Linked DNA regions of Nothobranchius furzeri. The protein of the gene in region 2 purifies or fractionates together with the protein of the main gene of each other region. This does not show direct contact. Links are inferred from orthologs where the notes say so. Each region holds a gene or a part of one and is shown on either strand. Other genes may lie near its edges. The genes, in order: FAST kinase domain-containing protein 5, mitochondrial; mapk4.

Evidence for each region.
Region 1: the proteins of mapk4 (region 2) and FAST kinase domain-containing protein 5, mitochondrial purify together in Homo sapiens (affinity purification with mass spectrometry; 3 studies listed by BioGRID and IntAct, with this or other methods). This does not show direct contact. The link is inferred for Nothobranchius furzeri from reciprocal best matches to the Homo sapiens genes MAPK4 and FASTKD5.

The regions. Positions count from the first base shown.
Region 1 is NC_091754.1:22,726,907-22,731,161, reverse strand, and holds the start of FAST kinase domain-containing protein 5, mitochondrial, read right to left. Parts: upstream 2,961-4,255; 5' UTR 2,658-2,960; intron 2,391-2,657; 5' UTR 2,378-2,390; coding exon 1-2,377. UniProt on the Homo sapiens protein: Plays an important role in the processing of non-canonical mitochondrial mRNA precursors.
Region 2 is NC_091757.1:50,261,480-50,265,297, forward strand, and holds part of mapk4 (mitogen-activated protein kinase 4), read left to right. Parts: intron 1-626; coding exon 627-709; intron 710-1,066; coding exon 1,067-1,145; intron 1,146-1,299; coding exon 1,300-1,510; intron 1,511-3,818. UniProt on the Homo sapiens protein: Atypical MAPK protein. Phosphorylates microtubule-associated protein 2 (MAP2) and MAPKAPK5.

The DNA.
Region 1 (4,255 bases), on a different chromosome or scaffold from region 2:
AGTGCAGATATGCCAACTTCTCCGTTCTGCGTTTCCTGAGCAGTGGCATCCACTCCTGAAGGTTCAGCTCCACGACCCTGTAACCTGCCATTTTTAATTGTCTTCTCTTCATGGCATGAAGTCCCAGTAACTGCGGTGACTGGGAGCAGTAGTGGTTCCTGCTAGAGATCTGAACCGCCACTTTGATGGGGTCTTTGGACTCCAGGCCTCTAGGTTTGGTTGGAGTTTTTGTGAAGTCACTGAACAAATCCAGAACTGAGTCAAACAGTCTCCCATCTTCATCAGGTGGTAAACTATGGTGGGAAGCAGGTTGAACTCTGGGAGAAGATGCTGGAGAATCTGGGATGTTTTTGCCATTTATTAACTGTGCTAAAATTTTATCAGTAATAATCACACCAGAGTTGAATTTTTCCCAGCTCGGATGAGACGGACTAACTGATTTATGTCGCTCTATGACTGGTGGGTTCACAGGTATGGGCTGTCCGCTGGAGTCTAGATGCACTTCAAGGTCAATGGAGCGAGTGTGAGGTAGGATCATCCTCTTACATACAAACTTTTCCCCTCCAAGCAGATCCTGAAGAGCCGATTCTGCCTCCAGAACTTCTGGCTTCTGGCACATAGCCGACTGCATGAACTTCCACAGCATTTCAGCCACCTCTTCTCTAAACTTCGGACTTAATCGTGGGCCAGTCCACCGAGGCAGCTCCAAAGCAACAGCTCCATCTAAAGTGAACAGGTCCTTTTTCAGCTCCAGATGGGTGGATTTCAGTGCTAAGCTGACAAAGTCTGGGCTTAAAGCTAACGCAATCAGGTCCTCCGGGAACTGTGAGACAAAGGCCAAGCCTAGAAGGCCAGTAAGCAGGTGCTCTGGGTAGTGCTGGAATTCGGCTTTCCTCTGCCTCAGGCTTTCTGTAAGGCTTGGATAAAAACTTGGATTCTGACTGGGGAGAAAGCCTAAGGTGCCAAAGGCCCACAGGAGTTTGCACGAGTCTTTACTCCTGCAATGCGGCACGAGCGGGGGAATTCTCTCGGCGATGGCAGTCAGGATGCTATCATTGCGGTAATGAAGAGCTGAACAAGTCAAAGCCAAGTGCATCAGTCCTTGAACAGCCATCCCGTGGGCACGTCGAGGGACTTCCTGTGCCATTGCTTCCAGCCATGGCCTGTGAAAAAGATAACTGAAACGCAGGTATTTCATCACGTTCGCCACCGCAAAGTCACTCATCTCAGTCACAAGCGAGAGCGCGCCGTCGACAATACAAGTCAGTGCGCCCTCAGAAATTGATGTTTGGGATTTAAAGAGCCCAAGACATACAGTGCCAATCTCTTCAGGATGGAGATGATGTAAATGGCGCAACAGAAGTTGCTCTAAAGAACGGATCAAGTCTTTTGGGCAGTGCCTCCCTTCACCTATTATATATATCATCTGGACCAGCTCAGGGACACCTACTTGTCCCAGATGTTGATTAAATGAGTCATGAAGACGCTGTAAAAACTGTGGGATCTGCCTTCTGATGCAGCGCCACAAGTCAGCAGCTAACAGCATCTGATGTAAGCTCATCTGGTTGGCCCGGCGACACAGCTCAGCCTCATATACCCCCAGCACGGTGTGAGAAGAAGGGATTTCCAGCCATACAAATGACTCCAAAACCTCCAGCAGCTGGGGCACAGAAAAGTGGCGAAGGTGTTGCACAGAATACCGAAGAAGCATGATGAAGCGTTGGTCCCTTTTAAGCAGCGGCAGTTTGTCTGGGTGCAACTTGCTGAGCTCTTTGAAAAACTCAGAGACATCGATAGGCTTCATCTTGCCCTTTAAGACTGACACTTTCTGGAGTAACGGCAACACATCGACCCATTCAACGGGATGAGGACGACTGGTAAGATCGAGGGCGACAGAGGCGTACTCAGGTCTGCATTTTAGAAAGGCACGTGGGTCTACTTTAACATCTGGTGATTCTGGATTTTTGTTGCGATGTTGCAGCGCTGATGGTCTCTCTGGTTCAGGGACTTTATTGAAAGCCAGTTCCAGAAGAGTGTTTTTAGAGGTTGAAAGGTGCCGTGAGGTACACACGCTGTAGTGACTCCCTTGTTGCCACAAAGAAGGAGCCTTAGCAGTTAAACACTGATCATCTTCGACATCGTTATCTGTCTGGCGGCGAGAATTTGAGTTCCACGCAGAGCGATGATACGGTAAAGGGTTGTAATGTAGTCTGTATCCTCCATGGAAAGAGCTTTCTTGGTGATGCAACACTTCCTTCTCCTCCTGGTCAGTTATGTCATCTTTTGATCTGATGTGTTGAGCCTTGGTAAAACTTTTTCTCCAGTTTGGAAGGGAACGAAGCCTTGCAGCCCTCCAACACAACACACAGGCTGCCATCAGAGAGCTAGCACTGAAACGAGAGGCAAAGGTTACGTCAACTAATTTGTTGTCAAACTTTATTTTGGGATGTTTAATAAGAATTGTATAACGTATATTATATAAAATAATAATTTAGCTGCGCATATTGATTGCAGAGTGACCTAGTGTTTAAACAAGAGCAGCGTACAACACGGCATGACTGGACGTTAGTTTGAAGCTATCGTGGACCAAACATCGTCATCAGAGTTGATCATTAAAGCAGAAACTCTAACTTTACTGTGGTGTTGATATAACTCACCTTTATTTAATTTTTGGCATGAAACCTCGTGGAAACCACCCATTTCTTAGGGTTCAACCGTTGAGAGAGGTCTTTTTCCAATCACACCGGAACTCAAGGGTTTTATTTTCAAAATAAAACAAACCAGACGCCTGTAAATCGCTTTACAGAGTAAAATATATAAAATTGTTATTTTGGATCATTATTTATACTAGATGTTTAAAAAACTAAAATATTCAACGTAGAATGACGTTGATGGACATGGAAATGCGTCAACGATATATTATTGTGGCAGAAAAATAACTTCCGGGTAAAGGGGCAATAGTTTGATCTATGGCAGCCGCATTGGTTCAAGAAACAGCAAAAACGAAACACAATTTTTATTTTTTATTTATCTTTTTTTTTCATTCCAAAAATCGTCTTTTATCAAAATATCCTAAATTTTAAACTGAAACAATATACATTTGCTTTATTTCAAATGCTAATTTCACACTTGGATATAATGTTGCTAAATAACAAAATTATCACTATGTCACACAAAACGTTTAAACAAAGCATTACTATTGTATTACCACGTGGGTTATATATTTCTGCTAAATATTTCAAAGTGAAAATTAAAAAAAATTAAAAAAGTTATTCTGCATGTTTTTGTTTTCCGTTTATTCTTAATTTGTATCAGCAGAAATTGAGATTGAAGTCAAACTATTTTTTGAGTGAGCTCATATGAAAACGCTGATGTTTGTCACTTGTGACTTTTTTATTTTTCTAATGACTGTGCATATGTTTCACAACTTAATTAGAACATTAACTCTTTTTCTTGATTTTTGTACAGTATTCTGTATTATTTCTGTTCATGCATAGCGTGTATAGCACTTAAGGCATGTTGTCATGATTTTTTTTTTATGATAACAGGCATATCCCAAAAGTGCTTCATCCAACCCATTATAGATAAACCCTTGAAGAATAAATAATCCAATAAAACTATTTTACATCTGAGTAATAACGTGCCAGGGCAAGCTATTATTATTTGTTGTATTGTACTTGTTTTTCTGTTTGAAATTCAATAAATTTTGACCTATGAGTAGTCTTTTTTATTGTAACAAAATTAAATCTGAAACAACAGACAATACATTTATGAACTATTATGAACTTTGATCTTTGAAAACATTAATGTTGTGATTATTTTCCCACACCACTGGGACATTTTAAGTTGGATGGCATTAAATTGTACTGAAAGCAACCATTATTGTTTTTCAACAAACATCTCACAACTTTCAAAAGCATTCATCTTAATGTAGGCCTGCTGCATCCAATCATCTCACCGATATTTAACTTATTTTTATTCACAAATTACAATCTGCATGTGTGTTCAAAGCTATTTTTGCTGGAGCTTTGTAGAGATTACATTTAATTTTCCTCACGTTTGGCGACACTTCCCTATGCAGTTATATTACGTAAAATTCGGATCAAAACACAAGTTGCTTTTATTGTTCATATTTTTTAACGTATTCATGCATTCTATGTGTAATATATTATCATACAGAACTATCTAATAAAAAATCATCTTTAATTTTTTTGAAAATTGTATACATGTTATGAAGGAATTATTGTAGAATTTG
Region 2 (3,818 bases):
TGCTTTACTCACCTCTCGCTTAGCAAACAAGGGATGGAGGGCAACACACCCCATTTTTTTGTATACCGGAGGGAAAACACTGCACTTAACAGCAGAATACAAGGCTTGCTCTTCTCTCAGAATGAGCAACGTGTGGATATAGCACCCCCTGCTGTTTGTCCTGAACACAATGATGAAAATAGAAATCCACACTGTGTGTGTGCTGCTGTCAGCTGGAAACATCCATAATCCATAATCTCTCACGTCAAAAACATTAAATTAGCTAAAAGGGCTCAAATACACAACAGCTGATTTCTTCCAGTGTGCAGAGTGGCTTAAAGTTGGTTTAAAATGGTTTGTTGGAACTAGTTATAGAGACAAGTCTAGTTAAATTAAAAAAGATTATTAATTTCTTATGATATTTAATAATCTCTCACCAATTATGTGTACATTTAGGAGCAGTAAACCCAAGAGACTTGCAGCCTGCCTGGACCCTTTTAATTAAATCTTCTAACTTTGGTTTTTCTATCTCCTGACAGCTCTCTCAGCCCCCAGTTATCCTTGTTTGACTTCATTTCTTTCCTTATGTAACTGATTCTCTGTCTCCTCTCGCTGCTTGCCTCTGATTGGACGTCTCTGTCCCCCAGGAGCCCACGAGCTGGAGCAGATGCAGCTGATTCTCGACACAGTGCCGGTGCTGAGAGAGGAGGACAGGCAGGATCTGATGCAGGTGACACCTTGGCTGCAGGACGGATATCTGCAATCTGATATTGACAGATGTTGTCTGTCAGCAGAAAGTAGGCAGCAGTTATAAAATGTGGCTGATGTGCACAGAAAACATTTACAGCATGACTTCTGACTCAGTTGAAATCTGCTTTATCGCAGTTTAATTCTGCAAATGCAAATAAATAAATAATAATTCAACATTATACAAATAGGAAAAGAATTTAAAATTGCTATTGGATTAGTTGTTTTTTTAGCAAAGAGACAGAAATCAAACCAATCTTACTTTCTAAAGTAAAATATAAATTAGAAAATAAATAAATAAAGACCTGTGTATAATTTCTTTCCTCCATGTTTTTTCTAGGTGATGCCTTCATATGTCAGTAATGGGTGGAAAGTCAGGAAACCCTTTTCTGAGCTGCTGCCTGAAGTGGATGCTCAGAGTGAGTGCTGGCAGTAAAAAAGGGGTTGTTGTGTAAAAAGAAACAGAAACCAGATAAATAAATAAAAATACAGTTTTTCAATGACCGATGAAAAAACAAGTTAGGAATTTTAAAAGGAACTCGCTTCACTAAGCTCTACTTATCTGCTTCCCAGCTGTGGATTTTCTGGAACGCATTTTGACCTTTAACCCCATGGATCGTCTGACAGCTGAAGAGGCCCTGTCCTACCCGTTCCTCCAGCAGTACTCCTGTCCCGAGGACGAGCCCACCTCATCACATCCCTTCCGCATTGAGGACGAGCTGGACGGCCTCATTACAGATCAAAGTCTGAGTAACAGTCAGACCTCCAGCTTTTACTGGGAAAGGTGCTGATCCAGCTTTTCAAAATGTTTTTATCATTATTATTATTGTTAGTAGTAGTAGTATTTAATTATTTGTTTTTGTAGCTGAAATTTAGTGAGTCCATAAAAAATCTGGACAATTTGTTTGATTTTCCACCAAAGAAACAACTTTTTTTTTTCTTCAATGCTATCCAAAAGCCATGAACCACACCTTATTTATTTATTTTAACTTTCAAAAAGCCAGTTGGTCTTCCGTTTTGAAAGTTGAGCAGTAGATTTCCATAAAGAGCAAGTCAACCCCTACCGCAGTCAAGCCTGGGGCACACCAGAGGCGGACACAAGTCCCGCGTGATGTTGTGACTATCGCACAATTTTCCAAGACGCGCTCAGCGTAACAGCGCATCCTGTGTTTCCACTGGACTTCTCAAAATCTCGGGCGCAGCGCATTCCCCTCTGCCTCTGGTGTGCCCCAGGCTTTACTTCGCTCCCCACTTCCTGTTTGAAAAATGCAGAAAGCCGCAGTTTGGCCATAACAAACACCATGTTCGAACATAAGGATGCCCATCGGTACACTTGGTACCAGGGCAGCCTAGGTTGCAGGTCGATGATAGACTTTGTAGTTGTATCATCTGACCTGCGGCCGTATGTTTTGGACACCCGGGTGAAAAGAGGAGCGGAGCTGTCAACTGATCACCACCTGGTGGTGAGTTGGATCAGATGGCAGGGGAAGATGCTGCGTAGACCTGGCAGACCCAAATGCATAGTGAGGGTCTGCTGGGGACACCTGGCAGAAGAACCTGTCAAGACGGTCTTCAACTCTCACCTCCGGCAGAGCTTTGACCACGTCCCGAGAGCAGTGGGGGACATTGACTCCGAGTGGGCCTTGTTCCACTCTGCGATTGTTGAGGTGGCTGTTGCTAGCTGTGGTCGCAAGGTGGCCGGTGCCAGTCGTGGGGGCAACCCCCGTAACCGCTGGTGGACACAAGAGGTTCAGGGAGTCAGGCTGAAGAAGGAGGCCTACAGGGCGTGGCTGGTCTGTGGGTCTCTGGAGGCAGCAGACAGGTACCGGATAGCCAAGTGGGGTGCAGCAGTGGCAGTTGCCTAGGCAAAATCTCGGGCGTGGGAGGAGTTTGGTGAGGCCATGGAGAAAGACTATCGATCGGCTCAAAAGAGGTTCTGGCAAACTGTCCGGCGCCTCAGGAGAGGAAGGCAGCAACTCGCTCACACTGTTTACAGTGGGGATGGGGAGCTGCTGACGTCAACTGAGGCTATAGTCGGACGGTGTAAGGAATACTTTGAGGAGCTCCTCAATCCCACCTATGCGCATTCCGAGGAGGAACCAGAGCCGGGAGACCTGGAGATGGAATGTCCAATCTCTGGGGCAGACGTTGCTGAGGTAGTCAAACAACTACACAGCGGCGGAGCCCCGGGGGCGGATGAGGTTCGTCCTGGGTATCTCAAGGCTATGGAAGTTGTAGGGCTGTCGTGGCTGACACGTCTCTGCAACATTGCGTGGTCATCTGGGGCAGTTCCTGTGGAGTGGCAGACCGGGGTGGTGGTCTCCGTCTTTAAGAAGGGTGACCTGAGGGTGTGTTCCAACTATAGGGGATCACACTCCTCAGCCTCCCTGGAAAGGTCTACGCCAAGGTACTGGAGAGGAGGGTCTGATCGATAGTTGAATCTCAGATTGAGGAGGGTAGGGTTAGGGTTAGCGTCCTGGCCGTGGAACTGTGGACCAGCTCTATACCCTTGCAAGGGTGATGGAGGGGGCATGGGAGTTTGCCCAACCAATCCACATGTGTTTTGTGGATTTGGAGAAGGCTTATGACCGTGTCCCCAGGGCACCCTGTGGGGGACGCTCCAGGAGTATGGGGTGGGTGGCTTTCTGTTAAGGGCCATTCAGTCCCTTTACCAGAGGAGCGTGAGTTTGGTCCACATAGCTGGTAGTAACTTGGACCTGTTCCCAGTGAGGGTTGGACTCCGACAGGGCTGCCCTTTGTCACCGGTTCTGTTCATTATCTTTATGGACAGAATTTCTAGGCGCAGCCGTGGTGTGGAGTGTGTCGAGTTTGGTGGCAGGAGAATCTCGTCTCTGCTTTTTGCGGATGATGTGGTGCTCCTAGCTTCACCCAGCTGTGACCTTCAGCTCTTGCTGGGTAGGTTCTCGGCCGAGAGTGAAACGGCTGGGATGAGGATTAGCACCTCCAAATCTGAGACCATGGTTCTCGACCGGAAAAGGGTGGCTTGCCAACTCCGGGTCGGGAGAGAGGTCCTATCTCAAGTGGAGGAGTTTAAGTATCTCGGGGTCTTGTTCACGAGTGAGGGTAGGGGG